Linked DNA regions of Macaca fascicularis. The main gene of each other region encodes a partner of the protein of the gene in region 4 in a complex. Links are inferred from orthologs where the notes say so. Each region holds a gene or a part of one and is shown on either strand. Other genes may lie near its edges. The genes, in order: DPP3, ANPEP, REN and AGT.

Evidence for each region.
Region 1: the proteins of AGT (region 4) and DPP3 are in contact, whole or in part, in a crystal structure (PDB 5E2Q), measured with the Homo sapiens proteins. The link is inferred for Macaca fascicularis from reciprocal best matches to the Homo sapiens genes AGT and DPP3. Residues at the interface, in NP_001369746.2 of Homo sapiens: Asp25, Arg26, Val27, Tyr28, Ile29, His30, Pro31, Phe32; in NP_005691.2 of Homo sapiens: Phe109, Glu316, Tyr318, Glu329, Phe381, Gly385, Ile386, Pro387, Ala388, Gly389, Ile390, Asn391, Ile392, Asn394, Arg399, Val412, Leu413, Val415, Ala416, Phe443, Val447, His450, His455, Glu507, Glu508, Asn545, Arg548, Leu552, Glu555, Phe556.
Region 2: the proteins of AGT (region 4) and ANPEP are in contact, whole or in part, in a crystal structure (PDB 4FYS), measured with the Homo sapiens proteins. The link is inferred for Macaca fascicularis from reciprocal best matches to the Homo sapiens genes AGT and ANPEP. Residues at the interface, in NP_001369746.2 of Homo sapiens: Val27, Tyr28, Ile29, His30, Pro31, Phe32; in NP_001141.2 of Homo sapiens: Gln211, Gln213, Ala351, Gly352, Ala353, Met354, Glu355, Arg381, Val385, His388, Glu389, His392, Glu411, Glu418, Asn438, Arg442, Phe472, Tyr477, Ile864, Phe896, Ser897, Asn900, Gln903, Ala904, Arg907.
Region 3: the proteins of AGT (region 4) and REN are in contact, whole or in part, in a crystal structure (PDB 6I3F), measured with the Homo sapiens proteins. The link is inferred for Macaca fascicularis from reciprocal best matches to the Homo sapiens genes AGT and REN. Residues at the interface, in NP_001369746.2 of Homo sapiens: Asp25, Tyr28, Ile29, His30, Pro31, Phe32, His33, Leu34, Val35, Ile36, His37, Asn38, Glu39, Lys91, Leu92, Ala95, Met96, Met99, Leu100, Phe103, Arg107, Arg148, Ala151, Ile152, Gly154, Gln353, Gln354, Asn355, Asn358, Glu391; in NP_000528.1 of Homo sapiens: Tyr81, Met82, Thr84, Gln85, Val102, Asp104, Gly106, Ser107, Asn109, Ser118, Arg119, Leu120, Tyr121, Thr122, Val125, Tyr126, Leu147, Arg148, Tyr149, Ser150, Pro181, Ala182, Leu183, Pro184, Met186, Leu187, Ala188, Glu189, Phe190, Val193.

What each region holds. Positions count from the first base shown.
Region 1 is NC_088388.1:7,887,262-7,890,716, reverse strand, and holds part of DPP3 (dipeptidyl peptidase 3), read left to right. Parts: intron 1-285; coding exon 286-448; intron 449-3,455. UniProt on the Homo sapiens protein: Cleaves and degrades bioactive peptides, including angiotensin, Leu-enkephalin and Met-enkephalin. Also cleaves Arg-Arg-beta-naphthylamide (in vitro).
Region 2 is NC_088381.1:74,267,377-74,271,987, forward strand, and holds the start of ANPEP (aminopeptidase N), read right to left. Parts: upstream 3,160-4,611; 5' UTR 3,115-3,159; coding exon 2,498-3,114; intron 1,991-2,497; coding exon 1,848-1,990; intron 1,744-1,847; coding exon 1,604-1,743; intron 1,147-1,603; coding exon 1,020-1,146; intron 937-1,019; coding exon 782-936; intron 529-781; coding exon 415-528; intron 319-414; coding exon 175-318; intron 36-174; coding exon 1-35. UniProt on the Homo sapiens protein: Broad specificity aminopeptidase which plays a role in the final digestion of peptides generated from hydrolysis of proteins by gastric and pancreatic proteases.
Region 3 is NC_088375.1:61,984,716-61,988,716, forward strand, and holds part of REN (renin precursor), read right to left. Parts: intron 3,658-4,001; coding exon 3,507-3,657; intron 2,933-3,506; coding exon 2,809-2,932; intron 2,164-2,808; coding exon 2,045-2,163; intron 1,068-2,044; coding exon 871-1,067; intron 1-870. UniProt on the Homo sapiens protein: Renin is a highly specific endopeptidase, whose only known function is to generate angiotensin I from angiotensinogen in the plasma, initiating a cascade of reactions that produce an elevation of blood pressure and increased sodium retention by the kidney.
Region 4 is NC_088375.1:18,386,109-18,390,595, forward strand, and holds the start of AGT (angiotensinogen), read left to right. Parts: upstream 1-1,554; 5' UTR 1,555-1,592; exon of another isoform or gene 1,593-3,328; intron 3,329-4,487. UniProt on the Homo sapiens protein: Essential component of the renin-angiotensin system (RAS), a potent regulator of blood pressure, body fluid and electrolyte homeostasis.

The DNA.
Region 1 (3,455 bases), on a different chromosome or scaffold from region 4:
GATCCCCTGCCTCCTCCTCCCAAGGTACTAAGATTACAGATGTGAGCCACCACACCCAGTTTAAAGTCTCTTTTATAAGGGCCTTAATCCCATTTGTGAGGAAGGAGCCTTAATGGTTAAGTTGAAACTTAACCATAAGTTTCAACAGCGGAATTTTGGAGGGGACACATTCAAACCATAGCACAGACTGTCCAGGGCTGACCACAATCAGCTGTGGCCTGTGGCAGAGCCCTGTGGACACCGGGTAAGTGCCCATCCTAGACATTTACTCCATCCTTCCCACAGGTGCTGAAGTCCACAGGGGATGTGGCCGGAGGGCGGGCCCTGTACGAGGGGTATGCGGCAGTCACTGATGTGCCCCCGGAGTGCTTCCTCACCCTCAGGGACACGGTGCTGCTGCGTAAGGAATCTCGGAAGCTCATCGTTCAGCCCAACACTCGCCTTGAAGGTAATGGACTCTTGAGCTCCCTTAATGAGCACCACACAGGGCCCTCTGGGAAGCAATAAGAACCCATCCCAGGGCTCAGGGAGAGCAGCCTGGGATGGCCCTTCCCTTTCTGCCAGGGTCCTTCCCGTGCCAAACCTCAGGCCCTAATCTTGGTATCGGTCACCACCCACCACCCCCCCGACACACACACAGTCATGCGAGTTCTAAGACAGTGACAGAAGATTTGAAGAATACCACCAGAGCAGGGGATAGCAGAACATGCAGACTTAGGGGGAAGCCAGGCATTTGTACCAAAGGATTAGACCTGTTGGGTACCCAGGCTGGGGGTCAGGTCAGGAGGGAGCTGGGACCCAGCAAGCCTAGTGAAACCCAGTGGACAGTGTGACTTGGTCGCATCTGGGATGGTGATCAACAGCTGCATCATCCCTCTTCCTTCTCAAGCGACAATTCCGGAGCCTCGCCCTGGCCACAAGGTGCTTATATCTTTTGAATTCAAACCCCCTGGGGACCCAGCCCCTGACTGCCTTCACTTTCCTCTCACCCCTTGATTCATCTTTCCTGCTGTTTGTCACTTGAGACACCTAAGATGATGTGGTGTTATGGAGTGGTTAGAGCACCAGCTTCAGAACCGCCCTCTGACCTTGGCCTAGTCATTTGACCTTTCTAGACTTTGGTGTCTTCATTCACAAAGCCATTGTGGACCGCTTGCTGATATTATAGTGAACCTGAATTCCTTCTTAGAGTTTCTAAGTGCTTTCTGGGGATTAACCTTTTAAATCCATACAGTAGCCCAATAAGGTAGGTATTTTTGTTATCCCCATTTTACAGGTAAGGAAACTGAGGCACAGAGAGTAATTTGAGTAATTTGCACAAGGCTTATGCCTTTTTAGTGGAGAAGCCAAGAGTCAAATTAAGAGTGGTTGAGTCAGGCATGGTGGCCCCTGCCTGTAGTCCCAGCTACTTGAAAGGGTGAGGTGGGAGGATCGCTTGAGCCTAGGAGTTCAAGACTGCAGAGCAAGACCTCAGCTCTTCAAAAAAAAAAAAAAAAAAGCATTGTCCTGGGCAGTTCTGAGGGTTAAATAGAATAATATTTGTAAAAAGTCATTACCTATTATTGGTGAGGAAAAAGCATTTATTTATTTGTTTTTTGGGTGGGTTTTTTTTTTTTTTTTTGAGATGGAGTCTCACTCTGTCTCCCAGGCTGGAGTGTAGTGGCGCAATCTCGGTTCACTGCAGCCTCCGCCTCTGAGTTCAAGTGATTCTCCTGCCTCAGCCTTCCGAGTAGCTGGGATAACAGGTGCCTGCCACCACACCCAGCTAATTTTTTTTTTTTTTTTTTTTTTTTGAGACGGAGTCTCGCTCTGTCGCCTAGGCTGGAGTGCAGTGGCACGATCTCCGCTCACTGCAACCTCTGCCTCCCGGGTTCATGCCATTCTCCTGGCTCAGCCTCCCGAGTAGCTGGGACTACAGGCACCCGCCACCGTGCCCACCTAATTTTTTGTGTTTTTAGTAGAGACGGGGTTTCACCGTGTTAGCCAGGATGGTCTCAATCTCCTGACCTCGTGATCCGCTCACCTCGGCCTCCCAAAGTGCTGGGATTACAGGCGTGAGCTACCGCACCTGGCTGCTAATTTTTTTTTTTAAGTAGAGACGGAGTTTTACAATGTTGGCTAGGCTGATCTTGAACTCCTGACCTCAAGTGATCCTCCCACCTTGGCCTCACAAAGTGCTGGGATTATAGGCGTGAGCCACCGTACCCGGCCTTATTTTTTTATTTTTAATTTTGTTTATTTATTTATTTTTTGAGACAGGGTCTCACTCTGTCACCCAGGCTGGAGTACAGTGGTGTGACCTTGGCTCACTGCATCCTCTGCTTCCGGGGCTCAAGTAATTCTGTAGCCTCAGCCTCCCGAGCATCTGGCATTACACACCCGGCTAAGTTTTGTATTTTTTGTAGAGATGGGATTTCTCCATGTTGGCCTGGCTGGTCTTAAACTCCTGAGCTCAAAGTGATCCACCCTCCTCGGCCTCCCAAAGTGCTGGGATTACAGGTGTGAGCCACCATGCCCAGTGGAAAAAGCTTTTATTTTATTTCTTTCTGAGATGGAGTTTCCCTCTTGTTGCCCAGGCTGGAGTGCAATGGCGCAATCTTGGCTCATTGCAACCTCTGCCTCCCAGGTTCAAGCGATTCTCCTGCCTCAGCCTCCTGAGTAGCTGGGATTACAGGCATGTGCCGCCATGCCTGGCTAATTTTTGTATTTTCAGTAGAGACAGGGTTTTGCCATGTTGGCCAGGCTGGTCTCGAACTCCTGACCTCAGGTGATCCGCCCTCCTCGGCCTCCCAAAGTGCTGGGATTACAGGCGTGAGCCACCGTGCCCGGCTGGAAAAAGTATTTATTAAGACGCTCATTCTAGATGCTTTTCCGTGCCCTCCAGAGGCTTCCTGGGATTTAGCCCCAACCCTTGCCAGCCTCACCACCTCTTCTCTGGCTTACTGTACTCCGGGCTCCCGACCCTTCTGTTTCTTCTACCCACTGAGCTCGCTCCACTCCTACAGCCTTTAAATAGGCTGTTCTTGCTGCTTGGCATGATCTTCCTCCAGATCTTTGCCTGTCTGGTTCTTTTTGTCCTTCAGCTCCTTGTAAAATGGCACCTTGTGAGAGAGGTTGTCTCTGACCCCTCAACCTAAAGTAACTGCTTCAGTCCCTCTCTATTCTGCCACCCAGCTTTATTTTCTTCATGTGCCCATCACGCTTGCCCATTTTTTTGGTGGTCACATCTCATGATGGGAGGAGCAGCATACACCAGTGCCTCATGCACAGCCTGGCACATTGGAGTTGCTCAGTGGCTGTCAAATGAGTGCATTAACAAATCATGCCAGCCACATGGACAGTACCATCAATTGCTTTGATATGTCCAGCCCTGTGCGAGCCATGGGGGAGCCACTGGGGACCCGGAGGTGATGACAGCTCATTGGGGATGATAAGATATGGAGATAAATAATCAC
Region 2 (4,611 bases), on a different chromosome or scaffold from region 4:
AGGAAGCTGGAGAGCATCCTGAGGACTGAGGCGCCCTGGGGAGGGGGTGAGGGGGTGCTCAGAAGGCTGTGCTGAGCCACCAGGACCCTGTGCCCCCAGACCCCAGCTTCAGCGAGGCCCCTCCAGGCCAAGTCCCCACCTCCCTCCCTGTGTCTCACGAGGTGTGGGCTGCACCTTGCTGTAGGAGATGGAGTCAAACAGCTCACTGATCTGGGCCGGCGTGTTGATCTCCGAGGCAGGAGTGGACAGTGGGTGGGAGGAGGCCAGTGCATCCACGGCCATCACGCGGTACACTTCGTTCAGCACCATGAGGTCTTTCTGCAAATTCCCCAGGGCCATCAGGACACTGGCCTGGTAGCGGTGGCCCAGGTCTCCCTCCACACCCCCCGACTGGACCCCAGGGCAGCTGCTCACCAAGTTCCAGGTGGGCTCTGCATAGTCAGCACCCAGGTACTCCACGTAGGAGGCAAAGCCCTCGTTCAGCCACAGGTCATTCCACCACTCCATGGTCACCAGGTTCCCGAACCACTGTGGGGGGAGGGGTCAGCTGGGCAAGCCACGCCCAGGCCAGGCACTGAGAGTCCCCAGAACTACCCTCCCCAGGGCTGGCCACCTGCCAGGCACAGTGGGGATTTCACCAACCCCATCGTGACCCCTTCCTGCTGCCCTGTCAGGCGGCACCCTCCTCCCTTCTCAGCAGCCTGGGGCGGAGCCTGGACCTGCACCATCTCCTCCTGGAGCCCCCGTTTCCTTCTCTGCACTCCCCGAGATGGGGGTCTACCTGGTGGGCCAGCTCGTGAGCAATCACAGTGACCACCCGCTCCTTGTTGCTGCTGGAGGAGGACAGCGGGTCGAACAGCAGGGAGTTCTCCCGGTAGGTCACCAGTCCCCAGTTCTCCATGGCGCCGGCGTTGAAGTCAGGCAGGCCAATCTGGTCTGGGGAGGCGAGGCCATTGGCAGGATGGCCTCCGGGAGTGGAATTCCAACCACTGCCTCCCTCCTCGAGGACCCCCACTCACCTGATTTTGGGAGTGGGTAGGGTGTGTCATAATGACTGGCAAAGAAGTTAAGGATGGGGCCTGTCACGTTCAGAGCATAATCGCCGTGACCCGCCGCAATGGCACTGGGCCGGGCCCAGATCCGGATCTGCAAGGTGTGAGGAAGAAGCAGGCCAGGGGCCCCTGTTTGATCCTGGGGCAGGTGGGCTGGGTCCCAGGGCCCAGTGGGCCAGGGGGATCCCCGATGGGCCAGGGCTGGGGGTCAATCAAGCTAAACCTAGAGACCTGGTCAGCAGAAGGAACACTAGGGGGGCCTGGAAGCTGTGGGTCCTAGAGAAGGGCCTTTGGAGAATACCAATTATCATAGCCACCGTCTGTCTGGTACTGGCGGGTCAGAACTCCCTTCATGAGGAGAAACCATTGTTTTCACTTTTCAGGTGCAGAAATAGAGAACCAAAGAACAAGACACTTGCCCGAAATCACTCAGAGCTGGGATTCAAACCCTGGCCTAACGATTCAGAAATTGGTACAGGGATGAAGAGAACAGGAAGACCCCTCAAGCCAGGGCCAGCCCAGGTGAAGGAGAGATGGGCCCAGCCTCATACCAAGACATCATTGGATGCCTGCGTCTCCACGTAGGTGAACTCGCTGACAATGAAGGCCAGCAAGTACGTGGACATCTTGGGCGTGGTGTGGAACTCGGTGACACTCCAGTTGGGGTCTTCTGGAAGTGGGGTGCTGGGACCTGGGCACAGAGCATGCGTGTGTGAGGATGCACCCTCCTGCCCCATACCCCAGCCCCAGCGTGCCTGCCCCCTGGCCGTGTGGCCTCAGGCAGGGCCCACTCACCTTTGGGAAGCATGTTGGACAGGGCTGTGAGGTCCTTGGGGTGGATAAGCGTGATGTTGAACTCGGCCTTCATGGCCGGTTCATCAAAGCATGGGAAGGACTTCCGGGCATCTGGGGCCTCCATCTGTGTTGTGGCCACCACCCTGCCCCAACCAAAAAGTTAGAGGGTATGCCAGGGCTGAGGGTATGGGAGGGGATCTGAGGATGCTACCAGTCATGCAGGGAAAGGGGTACATGGAAGGCTGCCCCAGCCTAACCCCTTCTCCTGCTCCCGCTCCCGCCTCCCCTGGGAGCCTCCAGAGCCCTGCCAAGCCAGCTGACTGGTGGGGGTTGGGGCTCCTTCTGGATTTGGGGTGCCAGCAGGCTCTCAGGGACCTCTGGTGAGTTTCTCTCCTCTGAGCCTCAGTTTTCCTGCCTGTCCAAGGGACATTCCGTCCCTCATCCCCAGCTTCCTGGTGAGGGGTGGGGAAGCCCTCCCAGTTTGGTGTGTTGGCAGCTGCTCTGCCAGCAGCTGGAGGTGAAGCAATGGGCCAGCCTCGGGCTCCACAGGGTTCAAAGGCCTGCAAGTTAAGTCCTTCCTTGGCCCTCAGAATCCAGCCTTGCCTCGGCACCTCGGATCCACCCCACCGGGTAGCCCAGCCGACACTCACTTTTTGACATCGCCCTCCATGTACTCGCTGCGGTAGAAGCCCTTCAGGTCATCTGCCAACTCCCCCTCAAACTCACTGTCCATCTCATATTGGCTGTCCTTCACCAGGGAGCCCCTGAGGTGCACCACCAGGTACTCAGTGGGCTCCACCAGCTCGGTTCTGTCGATGTCGGGGGGCTGGGAGCCTCCCACTCCACGCAGGACCACCCTGTGCCCCTGGCTGAGGGTGTAGTTGAGCTTCTTGCTGTGGATGATGATGACGTCGGTGGCCTCCTTGCAGGTGAAACGGACGGTACTGGAGCCCTTAAAAATGTATAGGCCCCTGTCATCGGGGGTGAGGTACGGCCTCAGCGTCACCTGGTAGGAATCGGGTTTCAGCGTGTTGGGGAGGCGGTAACGGTTCCACAGTATGCTTTGGTCCAAAGTGGTGGCCAAGGTGGGGTTGCTGGTGGTGGCTGAGGCAGACGGGGTGGTGGAGGCCTCGAGGGAGCTCTTGGCATTCTTGTTCTTCTCCTGGGAGTACACCACTGACAGTGCGATGATCGTGCACACGGCCGCCACGCCCAGGAGGATCCCCAGGATGCCCAGGGACTTGGAAATGTAGAAGCCCTTGGCCATGGTGATGGTGGGGAGGCGGCTCAGGGAGCCTCAGGCCAGGCGGAGAACGGAGCAGCCCCAGGCTGGGCTTATATCCCTGAAGGGGAGGAGCCCCACAACAGGCAGACTGGGCAAAAATTAACCAGGGCTCCAACAGGCGAAGGTCACTGGACTGGGCAGGGGCACACTCTGCCTGGGGAGAGAAGATCCAGGAACAGTGTGTAGAGCTGGGCTTGGGGGTGCCTGCTGGAAGCAAACAGTGTCTGGTTACAGGCTGCAGGCAGCCTGGGATCAGGCCTGAGGGCTGAAGGGCAGGCTGCCGGCTAAGGGCCCAGCAGGCAGAGCAAGTGGCCAGGTGGCATTGCATTGATCTGCTTGAGAGCTGAGAGGGTGGGAACAGCATCAGAACTGAGGTTAGAGTCAGGAAAGGACTTCCCAGAGGCGAGAGATGGGAGGTGCACAGAGAAGGGTTCCTGGCTCCTATTAAGAACACACTGGGGTCACCCCTTTGGTTGTATCTCTGGAAGGATGCCAGGAGCTCCTCAGTGACAAGGTCCCAGCCTCCCTTTCATTCTTCAAGAGCACGGAGTTCCTCCAGGTTCCCCTCCCTGCCCCTTCTTGCCAAATACTTTTTCCTCCATTATCAGCTCACGGAATAAAATGAATTGAGTTGTTTTGCTTTTTTGCTGAAGGCTTCATCTCTTTCCAGCTGTGACCTTGAGCAGGTAACTTTACCCTTCTGAACCTCTCTCCTCATAAATAAATAACAGTATTTGCCTCTCAGGTTTGTTGAACAGATTTAATGAGAAAACACATTAAACACCAAATAGTATAATGATTAAAAATCATTCCCGGCTGGGCGCGGTGGCTCATGCCTGTAATCCCAGCACTTTGGGAGGCTGAGGTGGGTGGATCACGAGGTTAGGAGTTCAAGACCAGGCTGGCCAACATGGTGAAACCCCATCTCTACTAAAAATACAAAAAAATTAGCTGGGCGTGGTGGCAAGCGCCTGTATTCCTAGCTACTCAGGAGGCCGAGGCAGAGAATTGCTTGAATCCAGGAGGCAGAGGTTGCAGTGAGCTGAGATCGCACCACTGCACTCCAGCCTGGGTAACAGAGCGAGACTCCGACTCAAAAGAAAAAAAAAAAATCATTCCCTTCTTTTTTACCCAAAGCTCAATGATTGCCTCTTTCTATCCTTGGTAGAAATGAAGATATTGCTTACCATACTCAATAAAATACACACCTTACAGGAAAATTATGTTCATTGTCACTTTCCCCATCCACCAGCCCAGTTTCTCAGACCTCGACACCGCCTGACCTCATTCCACATCCAATTTACTCACATTCCCCCATCGCAAGATGCACTTGTCAAAGCCATTCTCATCATTTATGTGGACACAGCAGGGCCCTTATGGACTCCCTGCCTCCATTTGGGCCTGCTTGAACCTGCTCAACACAAATTGGATCATTTTATGCCACTGCTAAAAAACCTTCCTTCTCCTTGTAGAGTCCAG
Region 3 (4,001 bases), about 44 Mb from region 4:
GGCCTCCCGAAGTACTGGGATTACAGGCATGAGCCACTGCACCTGGCCCCTTTTGCCTCCAGCTCTCTTGTCTCCAACTCATGCCATCTTTCTGAGTCCAGCAGTTTGGAGTAGAGCCCAACCCTGCTCAAGAGCTGACAACAGCTTCCCCAACGCTGGCTGAGCTGCACATAAGCTCAGCCTAGAATTGAAAAGCATCCATGGTTTTCAGCACCACACTCGCTGCCTGCCTGTGACACTCATTACATTGGAATATGTCTTGTCTTCCCTGTTAGCCTGTAAGCTCTATGTGGGTAGGGGAGTACAGATTCTGCCTTGTTCACTGTGTTCACTGCTGCACCCCCAGAGCCTCGCACAGTGCTTGGCACATAGCATTTACTGAACTGATGAGTGGGCAAACAAATGAAGGATCTAATGGATGACTGAAGTTGGCTGTCTCTGTGTGGGAGGAGCCATGGCCCTCACAGGCAGGGCTCCAGGTCACAGTAATCCCTTATTTCCCATCATCCCCACCTTGCATCTCCTCTTGCTCCAGAGTGGTACTGTCCATTAGAATGTCCTGCCAAGCTGGGAATGTTCTCTATCTGCACTGTCCAAAACCGTAGTTACTAGCCACCGCGGCTGCCAGACATTTGACATGTGGCTAGTGCAACTAAGAGCCACCAGTTGAATGCTTAATTGATGCTTAACTGTATTGAATTAATTTAAATTTCAATGGTGCCTTCCACATTGGCTAGTACAGCTCTAGATATTGATTGACGGTCATCTAATCACAAACGCTTAACAATTCTGGCCCAGGCTCTCCTTCCACTCCCCAGCTCTTCTCCCCTCCTCTCCCCCCACCTCAGCCCCTGGAGTCCCAGTCCCCACCTGTTGTAGTAGAAAGAGAAGACGTCCTCTTTTAGCACCCCTTGGGAGAGGATGTTGTCGAAGATAGGGGTGACCCTGCCAATGGCCTGTTCAATGAAGCCCATGCCCACAACCCCATCAAACTCGGCCAGCATGAAGGGTAAGGCAGGCATCTCCGTGACCTCTCCAAACATCTGTGTCACTGTGATTCCACCCACCTGTGGGAGGAAGGACCAGAGGAGACCAAGCCCACTGCCTGCTCCTTGGCTGGAGTCTGGTCTGGGCTTCCACACTAGGGATCCCAGGGCCACACAGGCTTCAGGGTACAGAATTTGGGGTAAGAGTGTTTCCTCAACTCTGCATGCACACACTCTGTGTACGCCAATGTGTATGCCAATACGTCTGTGCCACAGAGCCGAGAGAGAGCTGGAGTTGACCAGGGATTGGACAGCAGAGGCTGAGAGGGTGGTCCTGCCAAGCAGCAAAAGGAAAGCTGCCAAGAGCGCCTCCCCCTCCCCAGTGGCCCGCCTTTCGTGCCCGGCAGGACTAGGTCTTGGCCCCCACGCTTATCATGGGCAAGGGTTTCTTCAGCACAGCCAACCTTGCCCTTCTCCCTTCTTTATATCTGAGTTCACAGAAAAAGGGAGGGAGGCAGGAATCACCCTGATTTTCTGTCAGGCCCCATGTGTGCCCCTCCCCTAACTCTGATGGAGCAGGGCCTGAGAAACTCCAGAATGAGGAAAGGGTCAGACATGGGCCAAATAAAAAAAAAAGCAGGACTTGACCTGAATCCCAGAGTCAACCTCAACTGTGACCTTAAAACCTATGCCTTACCCTAAAACTCAGCCTGACCCTGACCCTGGATTTTAGTCTAGGGTGTAGCCCAGTCAGAGCTGGTGAACTTGGGCAAGTTACTTGACTGCAGCCATGGGGCTCACGACAACCCTACGTGCAAGTCAGATGCAAAAACGTCCATAAACCACCCAACAGTTAAGCCCGTAGCCCAAGCTTGCTCCCCCATAGGTACTGCTGCTTTGCAGCAACAGCCAGATGTGGCAGAGCAGGGTGCTCCTCAGCTCCCCAGGCTCCAAGTGGGCTGCAGTGCACCTCCCCGCAGGTATGGCCCCTGGAGGGTCAGGAGAGGCCTGGGGACAGAAGGGTTTGGGAGCAGATGACCTAGGGCAACCCCACTTACGGTGATGATGTCCTGGCTCAGAAAGCCACTGACTGTCCCTGTTGAATAGCGGAGGGTGAGTTCCGTTCCATTGTGCTTGTAGCTGGAGGAATCCGAAGCATCGAAGAGCTTGTGATACACTGGCAGGGGGACAGAGGCTTAGGTTTGTCCAAGAGTGGCCCAGACAGGGGGACTCAGAGGCAGGGTGCATTGTGGGTATGGCTGGTGTGGCTTAGGACTTAGCTTAGGTACAGGGACGAGTGACTCTAGGGTCAGGAGGCTTGGAATATGTGCTTCATCAATCAAGGACTGGGTTTCTTGGGCCCCCCTAACGTGCCCATACCTCGATAATTTTGTCCTAAATGAAGGAATGTAAAGTAATCACTAACACTGATAACACCAGAGAAGATGCTGGGCACAGAGTAAGTGCCCAGTAAGAGGTTGTTGATTAAGACTAGGGATGGAAGAGTTCCGAGTGCCTGGGATGGGTTTGAGAATTCAGTCCTGTCTCAATCTCAGGAAGACTGGGAAGTAGCCTTCTGGGTGGTCAGGGATTCTTGGAGCTTTCTTTTTTTTTTTTTTTTAAAAAAAACCTTGGTGGCTATATCAGAAAAATGGGAGACATCTTCCTCTCTCCCTTAAGTGTCAGGGTCAGTGGGTACAGAGGCAGAGAGGAAGGCACTCCCTTGGTGGCAAGAGGGATGGGAGCTAGGTGTGGGGCAGGATTGCTCATGCACAGTAGGGCAGGGGGATTGGGGAGAGGCACTGTGGGTCTTAGATCTCACCACAGGCAGTGTAGAGACGGCTGCACTTGGAGGAGGGCACCCAAACGTTGGACGAACCAGTGTCAAAGACAACTTTGAAGGTCTGGGGTGGGGTGCCGATGCCAATCTCGCCATAGTACTGGGTCTGTGGGGGTAAAAAGAGAGGGCTGGAGGGGCTCAGGGTCTTGGGGTCTTGTCTGGCTTCACTCTTGGCTGTCAGGGTAAGATTTCGCCCAGGTGAGGTCCTATAGCCTCTCGGGGTTTCTGCTGTCCTGCAGGAACTGGTAGGAGGCTTAGCATCGCCCCATGGCATCCCAGAAAGTGGGAATCTCAGTAAGACAAAATGGCGAAATCAAAACATTGAGAATGAAGCAGGATGCGAACTTGACCCTTGAGAATCTACTGGGGCAGGAAGCCGTCAGACTGTGCTGGACCAGGTCACAGAAACCCCCACCTGAGTCACACACCCCTTCCCACCCACCTGTGACACCTGGCTTAAGGCCTGGGCTGAGTTCCAAACCTAACCCTGCCCCTGAATGGCCCCTGAGTGCTTTCCTGTCTTCTGTGCTCAGGCTTTCCAACCAGAAAATGGGAATGTTCCTCAGCGCCTTCGTCAAACACAGCATAGGAAGGGAGAGTCTTGTGGCAAAGAAAGCCCTAGGTCCGTGGGGGAAAGGAGACAGGGAAGGAGGGAGCGAGGGGCTGGGCCAGGCACTCACATCCATGTAGTTGGTGAGGATCACGGAGGAGGTGGTGTTGCCAAGGGCCAGCCTCTTCATGGGCTGGCTCCACTCGGGACCAAGTCTGGCCATGTCCACACCTCGTTCCTTCAGGCTTTCTCGGATTGAGGGCATCCTCTTGAGGAAGATCCTGGCTCATGGTGGAGGAAGCAAAAATAGAAAAGTGCTGTACCCCCACCATAACGGTAGAGTCCCTGAGGCCAAATCCCTGCTTTTAGTACAACCACCTTTAATGTTAGCCCAGCCACCTGGAAATCACCTCTGTCCCTGAAGGCCTCTGGAGCATTTATAAGAGTTACCTCTTGTCAAGAGTCAATTTAGAGGAGTCAGCTGCCCGCGGATTAAATAACCCTGAAGTGACTTCCTTCTGTTGCCTAATTTTAATTAGACAAGGCTGTTTGTTTATTGGTCCGTTCATTCATTTATTCCATAATCCCCTGCTGAACAACTACTTTGTGCCTCACTGTGCTGGAA
Region 4 (4,487 bases):
AGTTTATTTATAATTATCATAAAGTTGAATTGCTGAAACTTGTTCACTGAAACATTTTGATTTGCATTAATGCCTTATGTTTCCACATTTATATTAAAAATTCACACACAAATAAAAATGGAAAAACTGCCAAAAAAAAATCAAGGAGACATTTTATTTACATTTACTGGTTAATTATAAGGAATACAAACGAACAGCCAGAAGAAGAGACACAAAGCGTGAGGTCCACAAGGGTCCTTTTTAAGAGACAGAGTCTCTGTCATCCAGGCTGGAGTGCAGCGGTGTGAGCATAGCTCACTACAGCCTCAAACTTCTGGGCTCAAGTGATCCTCCTGCCCCAGCCTCCCAAGCAGCTAGGACTACCAGTGCATACCACCATATCCAGTTAGTTTTATTTTTTGCACAGATGGGGGTCTTGCTATGTTGCCTAGGCTGGTCTCAAACTCTTGGCCTCAAACTATCTTCCTGCCTCAGTTTTCCAGAGTACTTGGGTTATAAATGTGGGCCACTGCACCTGGCCCCCAATCTTGATGGGGAGCAGGTTTCTGCATGGGTGTCAACCCCAGCTCCTTGAGAGTGCGGCCTGAAGTCCTTGGTCCCGGAGGCTCAGCAGGAAATAGGACAGTGACTGCATAAGCTTGTGAGAACCTGTGGCCAGGCAGCAGCAGCCGTTTGGCCAGGGCTTGTCTCCTGCAGCCCTCTTGCCCAGTACCCGGGCCTGCTTGTATTCCCCCACACGCGCCCCCCATGCTCTCCCTCTTGTTGGTGAGTGTCACTCAAGCCTCTGCCTCAGAAAAGCCCTTCTGCAGCTTCCAAGTCAGACCAGCTCCTCCTCCAGGTGCAGGCCCAGTGATATCTGTCCCTCGCCCCTCGCCAGCTTGCACAGGTGAATGCTTTCTGCATCCTGAAGGCATTTCGTTTGTGTCTTTTAATCTGGCTGTGCTACTGTTGGTGTTTAACAGTCTCCCCAGCTACACTGGAAGCGACCAGAAGGCACTTTTCACTTGCTCGTGTGTTTTTCCCAGTGTCTATTAGAGGCCTTTGCACAGGGTAGGCGCCAAATGGCTGTTGGGAGCAGCTGAAGGTCACACATCCCATGAGCGGGCAGCAGGGTCAGAAGTGGCCCCCGTGTTGCCTGAGCGAGACGCTCCCCTGCCCTCTGCCCTCCGCGCCTCCGGCCTGCATGTCCCCGTGGCCTCTTAGGGGCACATCCCAGGGCTGGGTCAGGAGGTCTGGGCGGTTGGCCTTAAGCTGTCACACACCCAGGGAGATGCTGCTGTTTCTGGGAACCTTGGCCCCCACTCCTGCAAACTTCGGTAAATGTGTAACTCGACCCTGCACCGGCTCACTCTGTTCAGCAGTGAAACTGTGCATCGATCACTAAGACTTCCTGGAAGGGGTCCCAGCGTGAGTGTCCCTTCTGGCGTCTGTCTTTCTGGCCAGCCTGTGGTCTGGCCACATGATGTAACCCCCCTCCAGCCTGTGCACAGGCAGCCTGGGAACGGCTCCATCCCCACCCCTCAGATATAAATAGGGCCTCATGACGCGGCCAGGGGAAGAAGCTGCCATTGTTCTGGGTACTACAGCAGAAGGTAAGCCGGGGGCCCCCTCAGCTCCTTCTCAGCCTTGTCCCTCTCAGACGTAACTGAGCTGTGGGCCGGGAGGAAAAGGCCGGGAGGGGCACTGGTGATGGCTGAAGCATCTCTCCCCTCCCATAAGACCAGTCATCTGGACGCAGGCTTTCTCCGCTCAGTGCCCACCCAGGGGTCTCCCAGGAGGAGCTGCTCCTCCTTAGCAATAGGACCAGATGGTCAGGTCTTCCTGCTTCGGCTGAGAAGAGTTAGGGTCCTCAGGGATGGAGCAGAGTCATCATGGTCAAGAGTCCACCAGGTCCTCTTGCCATCAGGAGGAACAGCAGGGCTTGTACAGGAAGTGGGGCCACAGGGAAGGGCTGGGCCCGGTCAGTCCCCAGCTGGGATCCCCAGAGTGGTCACCCTACCCCTCCCTCGAGACAGATTCCCTGACTGTGTCATCAGGCTGGTCACCATCTCTCTGAACCTCGATTTGCTCACCTATAAAATGGGACTAGTAACGATGCCTGGGCTCCCTCTCTCAGGGGCTGTGGTGCAGCTGAAGAGAACTAATACAACATGAAAGTACTTTCTAAGCTTTGGGATAAGCTAAAAGGCAGATTCCAATTTCATTCAAGGGCAGCGTAGATTGGTGCTTAAACTTGTGGATGACAGAGTCAGAGGGCCTGGTTCTGAGTCCTAGTTCTGTCTCTTCCCAGCTGTGTGACTTTGCACAAGTCACTGGACCTCTTTGTTCCTCTGGAAAAGAGCAGGAACCAATTCATTAACTACTTCTCCAGGATGCATTAGGTCCCGGGGACTGTCCTGGGAATGTGGGCTGTATTAGGAAACATAGCAGCAGGAACCCTGCTCCGGGGCTCACATTCACGTCAGGGCAAACAGACAAAGACGCTGGACAGCACAAGTGCGTAACTACATGGTACAGGGGTTATAAGGAGGGAAAAGGGGAGCCAGATGAGAGAGTTGAGAGTGCCCGGTGTGGTGGGGAAAGCTGCAGGGTGAAATACGGCACCAAGGAAACCTCAGGGAAGGTGAGGACTATGATGAGGTCAGAGGGGTTGATATAAGAACGATGCCCTGCAAATGACAGGCACCACGGGAGCGTGAGCCGTCATCTTCACCTGTAGCATTCAGCCTGGGGGAAGTAGGGAGACATAGAAGGGGCAGGTGCTGGCAAAGAGGCAGGGGCAGGAGGGGAGAAGGCGGAGGGGCGCTCCAGGCAAGGGTGTCAGGCCCGCCACCCCAGAGCACCATTACTCCCAGGACGCGGCTGCGTGCAGACCTGGAAACAGCCTAGGGAGCAGCCACAGATCACAACTGAGAACAAACGACAGTCTCTGCCTTAAAAATGGCCCAAGGAATTGCGTCTCTGGAGATGGTACCTGCGCAGGAGCAGCACAGTGAGTGGGCTGCACCGACCAGCGCCATCCAAACCCCGAACAGGTGGCGCTTGTCAGGCAGGACTTCCCAGCAGTCGGTTCCCACAGGTTTCCCCTGACGACCTGATGTGATGTGACTGTCTAGATTAGGTGAGAACTGGTGGCTCAGGCTTCTCTGCACAGACAGGCCTGCAAGCAGCAGGGAGAGTTTTCTGTTCTGTTTTTCCATGTCGTGAGGCTCTTCCTGAGAACAGCGGATGGAGTCAACGCATGGGGAGTGGGGTGAGGCGGTAGCTGAGGTCAGAAGTCAAAGTCTCTTTGGCATTTGAATGACTGAAGCAGAACGAAACACACCAGGTACTTCAGCAGTTGCACCGTGTTGAGGGCAGGTGCTGGTTACCGGTCTGGGGGGAAGCCAGCTGCTAATGTAAGAAGAATGACTGGGTGTGCTTAGGTGAGGCAGAAAAATCTAGGCATCAAGGTGGCCTCGAGTCAGTGATGACCTGCTACAGCTCCAAGGAAGCCTGGCGTAGCCCTGGGGGGACAGAAAAGGCTAAGCAGTGACGATATTGCAGTACACCCCCTCCACAAGAAATGAGTGAGATGTGGTACAAACTGTTAGAATTGAATGAATCAATAGAATCAACGTTCATCCCGTCAATCAGGAAGAGTCAGATGAAATGAATTAGCAGGGCCAGCCCAAGAACCTTGTCTTCTGGGGTCTCGGGGTAGTCTTCATTTGCAGCAGCTGAGGCTGAAGCCCAGTGGCAAGGCCTTTGAGAGAACATGGTGCCGGACCCGTGTCTAAGGCAGGGGTTCTAAACCCTGCTTACATATCAGAGCCACCTGAGAAATTTTTTTTTTTTTAATTTTTATTTTTTTAATCTAAGGAATCCAAGTATCAGTGGGCAAACCATGCTAGGTGTGCATGCCTTTGGGGCTCTGCAGGGGATAGCACTATGGAGGGATGGTTGAGAGCTGGTTTTGGGGTTGAGACACGTGGAAAAATACTTGGGCTTTGGGTTGAGCCTGTGGTGCTCAATCCTGGCTGCATATTAGGACCACAAGGAGATGAGAAAACCATTCCCAACCCTCACCCTAGGGCCCTTGAATGAGCATCTCAGGGGTCTAGGAGGCCTCCGCAAAGACCTACTGATTGGCACGTATGTGTTTTTCTAGGAGAGAACTTACAGCCGCAGGCAGGAGCATGTCTTAGTGTGCTTGGGCTGCCATAAGTACCACAGACTGGGAGGCTTCAACAACAGAAATGTATTATCTCACAGTTCTGGAAGCTAGAAGCCCGGGAGCAAGCCATCGGCAGAGTTGGTTTCCTCTGGGGCCTCTATCCTTGCCTTGTAGATGGCTGTCTTCTCTCTCTGTCCTCACATGGTCTTCCCTCTGTGTGTGTCCATGTCCTCATCTCCCCTTCTCATAAGGACACAGGTCATATTAGATCAGGGCTCACTCTCATGGCCTCATTTTAACTTAATCATCTCTTTAAAGATTCTGTCTCCAA